Schizosaccharomyces pombe: one gene and its partners. Each later gene encodes a partner of the first gene's protein in a complex. Each region holds a gene or a part of one and is shown in the gene's direction. Other genes may lie near its edges.

Region 1 (3,896 bases):
TTTTTGTTCGTCTTTTTTTTTGTTAATTTTATCTTTTGGAAGCACCAACAGTATTGGTGGTTGGGTTGTTGTGTTATCGTAGAGTACACCCAGTTTGTGTAAATATAAACGTTTGACATTATAAAACCGAGAGGATTTATGTAATGGCGAAAAAATATCAGGATCTAGCTAGTGGAATCGCCATGGGTGCAGTTTTCATGTACCTTTTACGTCGTTTGTACGAGTCTCTTCGCGTCAAATCGTCAGCCGATTCGTTGGAAGAAGACATCGTAAATGGAGTAGAAGGACTAATTGGAAATACTAAAATGGTCAGGATAAAATCTCTTTCGCAAGCGACGGGCTGCGATATCCTCGCCAAAGCGGAATTTCTGAACCCTGGAAATTCTCCTAAAGATCGTGTTGCTTTGCAGATGATTCGCACAGCAGAAGAAAATGGAGATTTAGTACCTTATCAATCGAATGCTGTTTATGAAGGAACCGCCGGTTCTACTGGTATTTCGATAGCTATGCTCTGTTGTTCACTTGGCTATGACTCTCGTATATATATGCCTAGTGACCAATCTAAAGAAAAAAGTGACATACTTGAATTGTTGGGTGCTCATGTTCAAAGAGTAACTCCAGCTCCCATCGTCGATCCAAATCATTTTGTAAATACGGCTCGTCGTAATGCTGCCAATCATACCGTCGACGAGTCCATTCCTGGCAAAGGATACTTTGCTAATCAATTTGAGAATCCGGCGAATTGGCAAGCTCATTTCAATTCTACCGGTCCTGAAATATGGCGTCAATGTGCTGGAAAATTAGATGCATTTATTGCCGGTTCTGGTACGGGTGGCACTATCGCTGGTATTTCTCGCTACCTAAAGTCCAAAGATCCTTCCATCACCGTCTGTCTTGCTGATCCTCCCGGAAGTGGCCTATATCATAAAGTTCTTCACGGTGTGATGTTTGATTTGGCTGAACGAGAAGGAACTCGTCGGCGACATCAGGTTGATACCATCGTTGAAGGAGTGGGTATTAATCGAATGACACGCAACTTTTCTATCGCTGAACCCCTTATTGATATGGCTTACAGAGTAACTGATGAGCAGGCCGTAGCTATGTCTCGATACTTAGTCACCCATGATGGTTTATTTGTCGGCAGTTCTTCTGCTGTTAATTGCGTCGCTGCTGTCCGTCTTGCTAAAAAGTTGGGCCCTGGTCATCGAATTGTTACTCTTCTTTGCGATCCTGGATCTCGCCATTTTTCAAAACTGTATAACGAAGAGTTCTTGCGAAAAAAAAACATTGTTCCACAAGTTCCTTCTTCCTTAGATTTTGTTGAAGCTTAGGTTGTTCCTCTGGTAGTTTCGATAAACTACGTTTTTTTAATTTAATCGATAGTTCTGTTTTCTTTGTTTGTGTTAACGTGAATGTATGCCCTAATATTATGTTTGTTTTCCTAATGTTAGTAGAATTTATTTTCATTCGTAGTTGAACAAATACTTTTTGCTATTAAAAAAAAAAAAAATTTGATTATCCCCAATTACCAAAAAAACTGAAATTTCTTAGTATATCGACTTTTAAAGCATAATAAATCGCTCTGTCTAATATCGAAAATATCATATAGCACATACTTTTCAATTGTTTTCGTAGTTGTAAAGGTATTGTTACACTTTCAGAAAGAAACATGTGGACAACTAAAATGCCTTCATAAATTTGTTTTAAATTTCACAATTTATATAGCACAGAAAACAAGCTTCATCCAACTGTCCGCTAAGCTGAACTATTCAATTTTCAAATGACAATTTGTATTACGTTGAGCTACGCTATGTATTGTAAGCTCCGCTTTACGATGCTGAATTCTGTTTGCGGAATCGTCAGCACTCGTTAAACAGGGAGTAAGAGGGAGTAATAGAGTTGCCTGCAAGAGTAAACCTAGTTCAAACCTGCGAAATTTGACGTGCAGTCAGTAGACGACGACCTGGCTGTAAACTAGCATTTTTTACGATTAATTAGAAAGGTTATTTGCTTTTTGATTAAATACGGAGAGTTTGGATAACACAAGGGATCGAAACATTTCAGAAAATAGAAAAAAATGGCTAGCGCGGATCATACCAGGGATCCTTGTCCTTATGTGATTTTGAATGATTTCGGTGCTGCTTTTTCCATGGGTACTATAGGTGGTGCCATTTGGCATTCCATCAAAGGATGGAGGAACAGTCCACCGGTAAGTTAAATCAAGTAGTGCAAAGTTGAATGCGCAATAGAATGAAGGCATTTGCTAATGAAATTATTAATTAGGGAGAAAAACGAATTTCTGCTATTGCAGCTGCTAAAACTAGAGCTCCCGTTTTGGGAGGTAACTTTGGTGTTTGGGGTGGTTTGTTTAGTACATTTGATTGTGCCGTCAAAGGTGTTCGTCGCAAAGAAGACCCATGGAACGCTATTATTGCAGGCTTTTTTACCGGTGGTGCTTTAGCAGTTCGTGGCGGTTGGAGGGCTACTCGTAACGGTGCAATTGGATGCGCTTGTATTCTGGCTGTTTTTGAGGGTTTGGGTATTGCTTTGGGCCGTATGAATGCGGAATATAATCGTCCTGTCGCTCCAGTTATACCTGATGCCCCGGCTTCCGGTTCCACTTCTGCAGCTCCTGCTGCAGTTTAAAAATGATTGGTACTTGTAAATTATTTTAATTGTGCGATAAAACGAAGTATTAATAATTTTTAATGCTTACAATCAACGTATTGTATCCAAAAATTCCTTGTCATCTGTCATATTCACTATTTCCTTGTTTTCCAATTTTTTTGAAAATATCTTTCGTTTTCCGGTTCCTTTATACTAAGTTAGCTCTATATAAACTTGGCGGATTATTGAAATTTCGACATTTAAGCCTTTTCCGGAACTTACTGAATCTAATCTCCATCTTTTTTACATAAATCATTTTTTGGAAATAGTTTTTGACAGCATACGTATCCTGTTCAATTTTTTCATGAACTTCCATTAATACGCTTAAGGGTTGTGAATTTGTTCATTTTAGGGCTTTAATCTCGTAGGCTGATCGTTATTTCTTTTTCTTTGTTAAAGTAATGATTTGGTTTTGTAACGTTATTACCAGTAGTTTACAATCCATGCAAATACAATAAAAGAATACCTTTCTGCGTTTTCTCGTATCCTAGAATCTGATACTCCACTGACTCAAACCGTTACTGCAATTCTTTGAATCGGCATCGTGTTTGCTTTTTATTAGACTGCTTGATGAAATAGATCAATTAATCGACTGCCTAATATTGCTCAATGCACCAAAGCTTGTAAATTAAAATGTAAGAGTTTCGATAGGCTTCTAAAGAATGTGCTTTTTCTAACTATATTGTTTTTTCGCTTTATTTAGAACAAATTCAATTAGACAAAATTGCTTAAATTAGCATAGAAGACAATAGTACTCAGAAGCTAGCAGTAGCTCAAAAATATATTTTCCATTATCGAAACAAGCACTATGCAATTTACTTACACGTAGTTGCAGTACCCTGCAAGTAAACTGTAAATGAGAATAACTTCCATATGTATGAGATGGTATTATGATTGCAATTGAAATTCATACTCTTAAATTACAGAAACTTGTATTCTTGTTTACTAACGCTAAATTAAGGGAGTAAACAAACTCCTTACTTAATAAGCATAAATTAGATCATTAATGAAATACTTTAGTCCCATTAAATTAAGTTATGAAAAGACCTCCAAATATCCCACAAAATTACTAAAACTATAGAAATACCATCATATTACTCATATTATTTTTAATTTCATTGTATAAGTTTAAAAATTATTATAATTAAAGTGGCCGTTTGGTCTAGTGGTATGATACCATCTTAGGGTGATGGTGGTCGTGGGTTCGATTCCCACAACAGCCCATTTTT
Region 2 (4,365 bases), on another chromosome or scaffold:
CACCAAAATCACTTACCACCACTAGCAATTGCAAGACTGAAAAAGTAATTAGTAAAATAGAACAGTACAAAAGAAATAAGTATATTTGTAAATACCCTCCTATAGCATTGAATCCACCACACAAAAGACAACCAGGAACGAAAGGACCGCCATAGGGTCGTTTAAATGCTCTAGGTACAGAAGCAATTACTGTTTTATAGAAATTAGCTAAATACTGAATTAATTAATTTCGCATACAAGCACCACCAAAGGCTAAATTTAGTTAGTTCACGTTGTGAAGTTGATTCACATACCATAAGCAGGGATATAGCTTTGATATATCCTTTGGAAGTATGATTTTCTGAGTTCTTTATTTTCCATTATGAGTTCTTACAAGGAAGATTAAGTTTACAAGAGACAAAGGTGAGATGGGAGAGACTGAGTTGCACTTGCGTAATGTCTTAGACGATGAGAAATAAACCTGGGCAGCAGTAATTTGTATCTTTTGCTTTTTATTTTAAATAACATAATATTTTCTATAAATTTATGTCTAAAAATCTATCAACTTAAATTGCATTGATTTGTGGCTTTTTCATTTGTAACAGGAACACTTGCTAGGATTGGAGGAATGTACTTATGGTATATTTCACGTTCACAATAAATATATTAATGATAATAGGTCTTTATCTTTAACGGATCATACTTCTGGTTCAATATTGCAAGGATGGACTTGCATGTTATGAACGTATTAAGTTAGATATCTCGAGTCAACTATCCAGTCAGATTTATACCGAAAATCAATAAATGTGCAGACATTGACATTAAATTAGAAAATCATCCTTTAAACAAAAGCAAACTAGGAAATTTGATTTGAAGGCTACGACTTGTTACGCTAACGACTTTTCATATTTCCGAAGGCCACTGATTCGAAAGCTAAAGTGTAGCTGAAGTAAAATCACAAGGCTGTATAAAAATCTTTAATTACCTTGAATTTACCTGATGAAGCGTAAACTTCACAAAAGATGTCAATTTTTCAAACTGTTTGAAATAGATATATATTTCAAATTTTAATATCTACCATCTCTAGCGGCTATGCCCGAGTGGTCTAAGGGGGCAGATTTAAGAGGCCTCGGCCTTGATCCCTGCTGTTGTAAAACGCGAGAGTTCGAACCTCTCTGGCCGCAATATATTTTTTACAAATTTGTTTGATGACTCGCAATAGCGCGTTAATTTGTAAACAAAACAACATCTTGAATTCTTAATTTTGCGCCAATTCTCTTTTTTTCATTTATAATGATAGAATAATATATGATCTCGAGTTATTGCTGTGATCCTTCGAAAATACAGAATGCAATATTACAAAATATTTGCAAAGTGGATTCGTATAGTAAGTGATGTTTTTTGCAAGAGAAAAGACAACTGGCTTGTTTCGCCCATTGTCTAAATTAAATTATTCCGGAATTAACTCTTTAAAAATTATCTGGTAAATTATTTTATAAATCTAATAAATTTTGGCTGGAAACATGAACCTTCTTACCGTGCATTACCACCCTCGTTAGTATAATAATCCACAAGCATTCTTTTAGCATAGGACAAAAACTCTGTTCCTTTTTCCATTTCTTTTCCCTTTTTTATGATACTTTTCTCGATTTATTTGTCAAACCTATCGAGTCATACTGTCCGTCTTATTATTCTCCTGCTAATAGATGCATAAAAATAAAGGAGGTTTTACGAGATACCTTACAGTTTGATATCTCAGTGCACTGAAAATACATGGTTTCTTAATGGACTGACACTACGCAAACAACAACAAATTGCCGTACAAAGATAAAAAAGACAACAACATTCAAAATGTTGAACAGGTCTCTTCTTTTTCGTAATTTGAGGCTTGCTAGACCTCGTCCTTTTTTGCCCCTTGTTGGCAAACGGTTTGTGACTGAGAAAAGCCAGTCGCAAGAGGAAAAGGACACATCAAAAATCACCGAAAACGCAAAAGAAGAAGTTAAACGGGACACTTCTTCACTTGCGAAAGAGTCATTAAAATTACTTGATTTAAATGGTTTGAATGATGAGTCCTACACTGGAGACCCTGGAAAAGGACCCGAGTATACTAGTTCAACGATGCTAAAGCGAGAAAAGCAGGCTCGTTATGCATTTTGGGGTTTCTTGGGATTAACGGGAGGTGGTTTACTTTACTACGGTCGTCGCTATGGTCCTGATGAGAAAGAACTAGAAAAGCAGTATCCCGCTGCTGGTTATTCCCCTTCAGATTGGTGGAATAGGGTAAAGGCCCGTACAAATAACTTCTTCTCTTACTATCAGGAGCCTGCATTTGAAAAGTTGCTCCCTGATCCTCTTCCTGAACCTTATAATCGACCTTATACCTTGGTCTTAAGTTTGGATGATCTTTTGATTCATAGCGAATGGACTCGTCAACATGGTTGGAGAACTGCAAAGCGTCCTGGTTTAGATTACTTCTTGGGCTATCTCTCCATGTACTACGAAGTAGTCATCTTTACTAGACAGTATTTAGCAACTGCCAAGCCTATCATCGATAAGATTGATCCATACCACGTAAGTATTAGTGCCGTACTTACTCGCGAGTCAAGCAAATATGAGAAGGGTAAGGTTATCAAAGATTTATCTTACTTGAATCGTGACCTGTCTCGAGTGATCATGATCGATACGAATCCCGAGTCATGGTCCAAACAGCCTGATAACGCAATTGCCATGGCTCCATGGACAGGAAATCCTAAGGATAAGGAATTGGTCGGATTAATTCCTCTTTTGGAGTTTATTGCTATCATGGATATTAAAGACGTTCGTCCAGTTCTTAAAAGTTATCAAGGTAAAAACATTCCCCTTGAGTATGCCCGCAGAGAGGAAAAACTACGCACCAAGTTAATTGAAGATTGGAATGAGAAGAAGAAGAAAGGCAGTTCCTTTTTGTTTGGAGGACGGAGTGTATCTGAAGAGCCACCCAAATTAATCATTGATATACAGCGTGAGCGACAAAAGGCTGCTTATGCTGAATTTAAAAAGTATATTGACGAAAATGGACCTAAAATGCTTGAAGAAGAAAAGGCTCGAGAGGCTGAACAAAAAACAAGCATCTTTAATCTTCTCTTCCATCCAGAAGAGGTTCAGCAACAACAGTTAGAACAAATGCAGCAACAACAATTTTCACCCGAAACAAATGCTTCCAAATAGGCTTTCGATGAAACCCGTGTCAGCGTTTCCTTCCTGAAGAACATTCAAATGAAATAAGAAAAAGGAAAAATTAAACAATAATACGTCCCTTGTGCTTGTTGCTGACTGACACAATGCGGTATTCCGCTTTATTTTGTTCTCTAATTTATGAGAAAATGTAACAACTTTCAAGTCGTATCATTCTGCTTATTTTGGCTTCGTTTTGTCTCATGCCCATGTCTTAATACTTCTTTTACAGGACGACAATTTTGCTTTGGTACTTTGGATTCCTTTTCTCCACCCAAGCTCCGTTCTTTCTAATTCATTTCTCCTACGTTTCCAAGGGTATTGGTGCAAATTCGAAATCTTATTCAAAATTTACTTCTTATATTCAATTCAACCTACAAAAAAGTATTCTTTTAATTTTTTCCTTACTGGTTTTTTTTGTGTACGGACCATGCTGGGAATACGCTGGTCTTCCGAGTTTTTGTTCCTTTATACTGCGCACTTAAAGTGTTTACCTTCTTGGGTCATCCTATTTAAAAATTTGACTGACTATGTAAATTTCCACCAAAACAGGGTATCTATGAATTCTTGTATATAAGCATCAATCAAGGGTTTCCTTCATTTTCGTAATAATAATAATATTGTCCATCTATTTTTTTTTTACTTTTAGTGAGAATTTACCACTGAGTTCCAAAGAAAGCTTTATGTACTGCACTATGTGTATTATCCTTTGTTACCTATGCTACCCTTTAGCCTACTACTACCACATGTGGACTATATGTATTAAAAGAAACTACTAAGAACCAACCACTTTAAGAGCCCACACATCATACCAAACAAAAAACGGGTTAGCTCGCCTGTTATACTATAGTTGAAACAGGATAAAAAGGAGTTTTTACAATATTTCACAAGTTGGTGTGAGTTATGAGACTGAAGGATATAAGCAAAACGGCTACGTTGGCGTGGTCGCCCCGCGGGGTGAATGATAACCAAGCTCTGTTAGCGTTAGGAGGATATACCGGGACGGAGGGTTCTAAAAACAGCGACACCTTGCTTGAATTGTGGAATGAAAATCCTGAATCACAAAAACCCGTTGGATCTATCGACGTGAAGACTAGATTTTACGATTTAGCATGGGAGAAATCGTTAGATAAGCCCATGGGTGTAATCGCTGGTAGTTTAGAAGATGGC
Region 3 (3,756 bases), on another chromosome or scaffold:
GTAGAGCACTTGAAGAAGCGTAAATAGCATTTTTTTAGCGATTCAAGTTTGCCAAACATTCATTTTTTTTTTTTAGACTGTATTTATAACGCTAAATACGAAATGGACGACAAAGAATTGTTTGATCGGTCTATATTTGAAGAAACTAATCAGTTACATTTGTATGATCAATTGAATTATTTAAAAAAGAATGACCTGCAAAAGTTTAGGAAACTTTTAAATCAAGTTCAGCAATTGGACTTACGGTCATTGTGGTTGAAGTATCGAAATGCTAAAGCGACAAGCCAAGAGAACAGAAAATTGTCCCCTTCAGAAGTTGGTCCACTATCTATTGTAGATACGTCTGACTCAAGTTGGTGGAGAACAGGTCTTCGGGAAATTGCTAGAGGTCATGTAGCTGCCTTAGTATTGGCAGGAGGTCAAGGCACTCGACTTGGGTTTGCTGGTCCAAAAGGTTGCTTTAGACTTGGGCTGCCTAATAATCCGAGCATCTTTGAGCTGCAGGCACAAAAAATTAAGAAATCGTTGGCGCTCGCCAGAGCCGCATTTCCCGATCAAGAAGCCTCTATAAGCATTCCATGGTATATAATGGTTTCTGAATGTACGTCAGAGGAGACAATTTCTTTTTTTAAGGAGAATGATTTCTTTGGTATTGATAAGAAAGACGTTTTTTTCTTCCAGCAAGGAGTTTTACCTTGTCTAGATATCTCAGGTAGGGTCCTTTTTGAATCTGATTCTTCATTAGCTTGGGCTCCTAACGGCAATGGAGGTATTTATGAAGCTTTGCTTTCCTCTGGTGCATTGAATGATATGAATAGAAGAGGTATACTCCATATTACGGCTTATAGCGTTGACAATGTTCTTGTTTTGCCGGTTGATCCTGTATTCATAGGAATGGCTACTACTAAAAAACTTGAGGTTGCCACTAAAACTGTTGAAAAAATCGATCCTGCTGAAAAAGTGGGTCTCCTTGTATCTTCCCATAATCATCCTTGTGTTGTAGAGTACTCTGAAATTTCTGACGAAGCATGCAAAGCTACAGAAAATGTTGATGGTCACAAGCATTTGCTGCTTCGTGCGGCTAACATTGCATACCATTATTTCTCTTTTGATTTCTTACAGAAAGCTTCTTTGCACTCAAGTACCCTTCCTATTCACCTTGCATGCAAGAAAATTCCATTTTACGACGTAACGTCTCATCATTATACTACACCTTTAAATCCCAATGGATATAAACTTGAGAGTTTTATTTTCGATTTGTTTCCCAGTGTGTCAGTTGAAAATTTTGGATGTTTCCAGGTACCACGTAGGACTTCATTTAGTCCTCTAAAAAATTCAAGTAAATCTCCCAATGACAACCATGAAACTTGTGTAAACGATATTTTGAGTTTAGGTAAAAGCTGGATTTTAAAGAATGGTGGTATCTTAAGTCCAAGCGACTGCACCTATGTTTCCCCAGAATGTAGTTTACAAGGAGAATCACTCGAGTGGATTAAAGGGAAGCAGGTTAGCAATTGTAAACTTTACTAGTTTCCTCTCCTATATTCAACTATTTTTAAAGGTTTATATAAACAATGTAACAAAGTCAATGTGATAAATTTATTTACTTTCATTTTATATTGTACAATAATCGTCGAAGCACTAATTGCTGTTCTTAATCAGCAAATCAACATTCAGGATTTCAATTACGGTTTTACTTCGATTGTTAATATATTAATTTAATAAATTAATTGACCGTGCGTTTATTGAATTTATTAGTGACTGAAAATTTTCTAAATCATCTTCCACCTAATTCGCTTTCGTTCATTTTAAAATAACCCTGACTTTTAATATATCGTTGTTTAATCATGATGTTGCATTATTACTCCTTTCTTTTCAAGCTAAATACTCTCAAATTTTAGTATGCTTTTTACTAAATTACCTGACTAACGGAATAATGAGGTGTAACAACCATATCACTGCTAAAGCTCAAAAATTTAACGAACTACATTGCATCCTATGTCGAGCTCACTAGACATTGCCTTTATGCCGTTTAGCCTCGTCACTATATACATCTTCTTTGCATCTTTTTGTATCAACTAGATGATTCGTACTATTCAAAGGCAGAGCGCTACAAGGTTTTCTTCAGCTTTGGTTCAGAGGAGATTATACTCTTTGGCTTCTGATTCTCTCAATAAACAACGGAAACCACAAGAAGAAGGGCGCCTGGCACGAATTTTCAAAGATCCGTCTAACAAAGCTTGGAAGGATTTGACGGCTCCTCAAAAAGCATACAGAACTTCTGCTAATATTGGAAATTTTTCGATTGTGATATTTGGAGGCGGCGTTTTCGGATTGATTATATATGCACTTGTCACTAGTATCTGGAAGGGCGAGGCACATTACGGTGATGAAGCTTTTGAACTTTTAAAGGCTAATGAAGAATGTCGATATGTTTTTGGAGATCACATGAAAGCCCTAGGTGAAGCCACGCATCCTCTTCGTCGAACTCATGGTATATTGACTAGTCGTGTGTGGGATCACCATGGTGTAGAACATCTAGTACTACAATTTCACTTAATCGGTAATGAGAGAAAAGGGCACGTATTTGGAAGACTTGTAAATGTTCAAGGTGACTATAAATGGGAATATCTTTTCGTTGATGTTGCAAATTACGGAAAAATCATAATTTTTGATCATACCAATTCTGTACGACAACAACATAAGAATTTTGGTTTATGGGGAAGCTTAAAAAATATTACATGGGGAAATTAGAATTTCCGAATGATAAACGCACGACGGAAAGGTATAGCTGTTAATTTCAACCGAAAAGGAAATCATTGAATTATTTCTCGATTTTAATGGTTTGATTAATGGTTTTTCGCAGAGAATTAATTTTCTAATTTACGAATTAATTTACAGGCGATGTTAATGATTTTTATCAGAATTAGCACACTTAGTTATGCAGTATTTGGATGTATATTGCAAAAAATAAAAAAATCGTCGACACTTTATTACTAATTAAGCGATCGAACCTCATGATTTGTTGTTTAATTAGTTAGTATAAAGAAGCGAATTTGTACGAGGGGCCTTTTCGCAGGGGCTGATTAATCGCCAATCTAATGTACTACCTAAATGTGTTTAGTTATAAAAAATATAAGAATGATTCAAAGCACATGAAATAATTTTGATTATTAGATATAAAGTACAAGATGTAGGCCGGTATTTATAACCGAGTACACTAATCCATATCCAACTAGCAATTAATTATATATTAAATTTTTATAATGACAAAACGCAACGCATTCAAAAAAGATGAAAAAATCTGGTATATAATTTCCAAATAAACAAATTAAAAAAGAAGAAAAACAAGGATAAAATACTTAAGTTTCGACAAAATTAAGCAGCAGTCGAGTCTTCATTATCCGGCAAATTAAACAATCCAAACCATAAATCGTCACCAGTACTAGTATCTTTTAAAAATTTGTCGAAGTCAAAATCATTTAGAAGAGCCGCATCGATGTCTGTTGAATTTCCAACATCCAATAATTGATTGTCTGAAGATTTAGTGGCAACTGTGGTAGACTCCGTAGGTGCAGAAGGAGTCGCGGAAGTATCAGGATTTGATTTTCCTGACTGATTTTGATTATCCAACTCAGAATCGGATTTGTGAACATTTGCTCCTTGCGATGGTTCCAAAGCAGGACCTACACTTGTTGCTTCATTTGTTGATGATTCGGGGTTGGTAGTGTTGACGGTCGGTGCTGGAGTTGGAGC

The links.
Region 2: tim17 (region 1) and tim50 share a complex: the UniProt entries of both Schizosaccharomyces pombe proteins name them as parts of the TIM23 complex.
Region 3: tim17 (region 1) and tim21 share a complex: the UniProt entries of both Schizosaccharomyces pombe proteins name them as parts of the TIM23 complex.

The regions. Positions count from the first base shown.
Region 1 is NC_003424.3:1,449,392-1,453,287, reverse strand, and holds tim17 (TIM23 translocase complex subunit Tim17), read left to right. Parts: upstream 1-1,913; 5' UTR 1,914-2,077; coding exon 2,078-2,209; intron 2,210-2,283; coding exon 2,284-2,646; 3' UTR 2,647-3,361; downstream 3,362-3,896. Other genes in the region: cysteine synthase-like protein Cys12, read left to right, coding at 144-1,331. UniProt on the Schizosaccharomyces pombe protein: Essential component of the TIM23 complex, a complex that mediates the translocation of transit peptide-containing proteins across the mitochondrial inner membrane.
Region 2 is NC_003423.3:1,399,242-1,403,606, reverse strand, and holds tim50 (TIM23 translocase complex subunit Tim50), read left to right. Parts: upstream 1-1,778; 5' UTR 1,779-1,830; coding exon 1,831-3,189; 3' UTR 3,190-3,819; downstream 3,820-4,365. Other genes in the region: protein aim19, read right to left, coding at 17-36, 96-189, 238-252, 294-360; COPII-coated vesicle-associated protein Sec31, read left to right, coding at 4,099-4,365. UniProt on the Schizosaccharomyces pombe protein: Essential component of the TIM23 complex, a complex that mediates the translocation of transit peptide-containing proteins across the mitochondrial inner membrane.
Region 3 is NC_003423.3:4,397,238-4,400,993, forward strand, and holds tim21 (TIM23 translocase complex subunit Tim21), read left to right. Parts: upstream 1-2,061; 5' UTR 2,062-2,082; coding exon 2,083-2,754; 3' UTR 2,755-3,164; downstream 3,165-3,756. Other genes in the region: uap1 (UDP-N-acetylglucosamine diphosphorylase Uap1/Qri1(predicted)), read left to right, coding at 103-1,530; adn2 (transcription factor), read right to left, coding at 3,379-3,756. UniProt on the Schizosaccharomyces pombe protein: Essential component of the TIM23 complex, a complex that mediates the translocation of transit peptide-containing proteins across the mitochondrial inner membrane. Required to keep the TOM and the TIM23 complexes in close contact.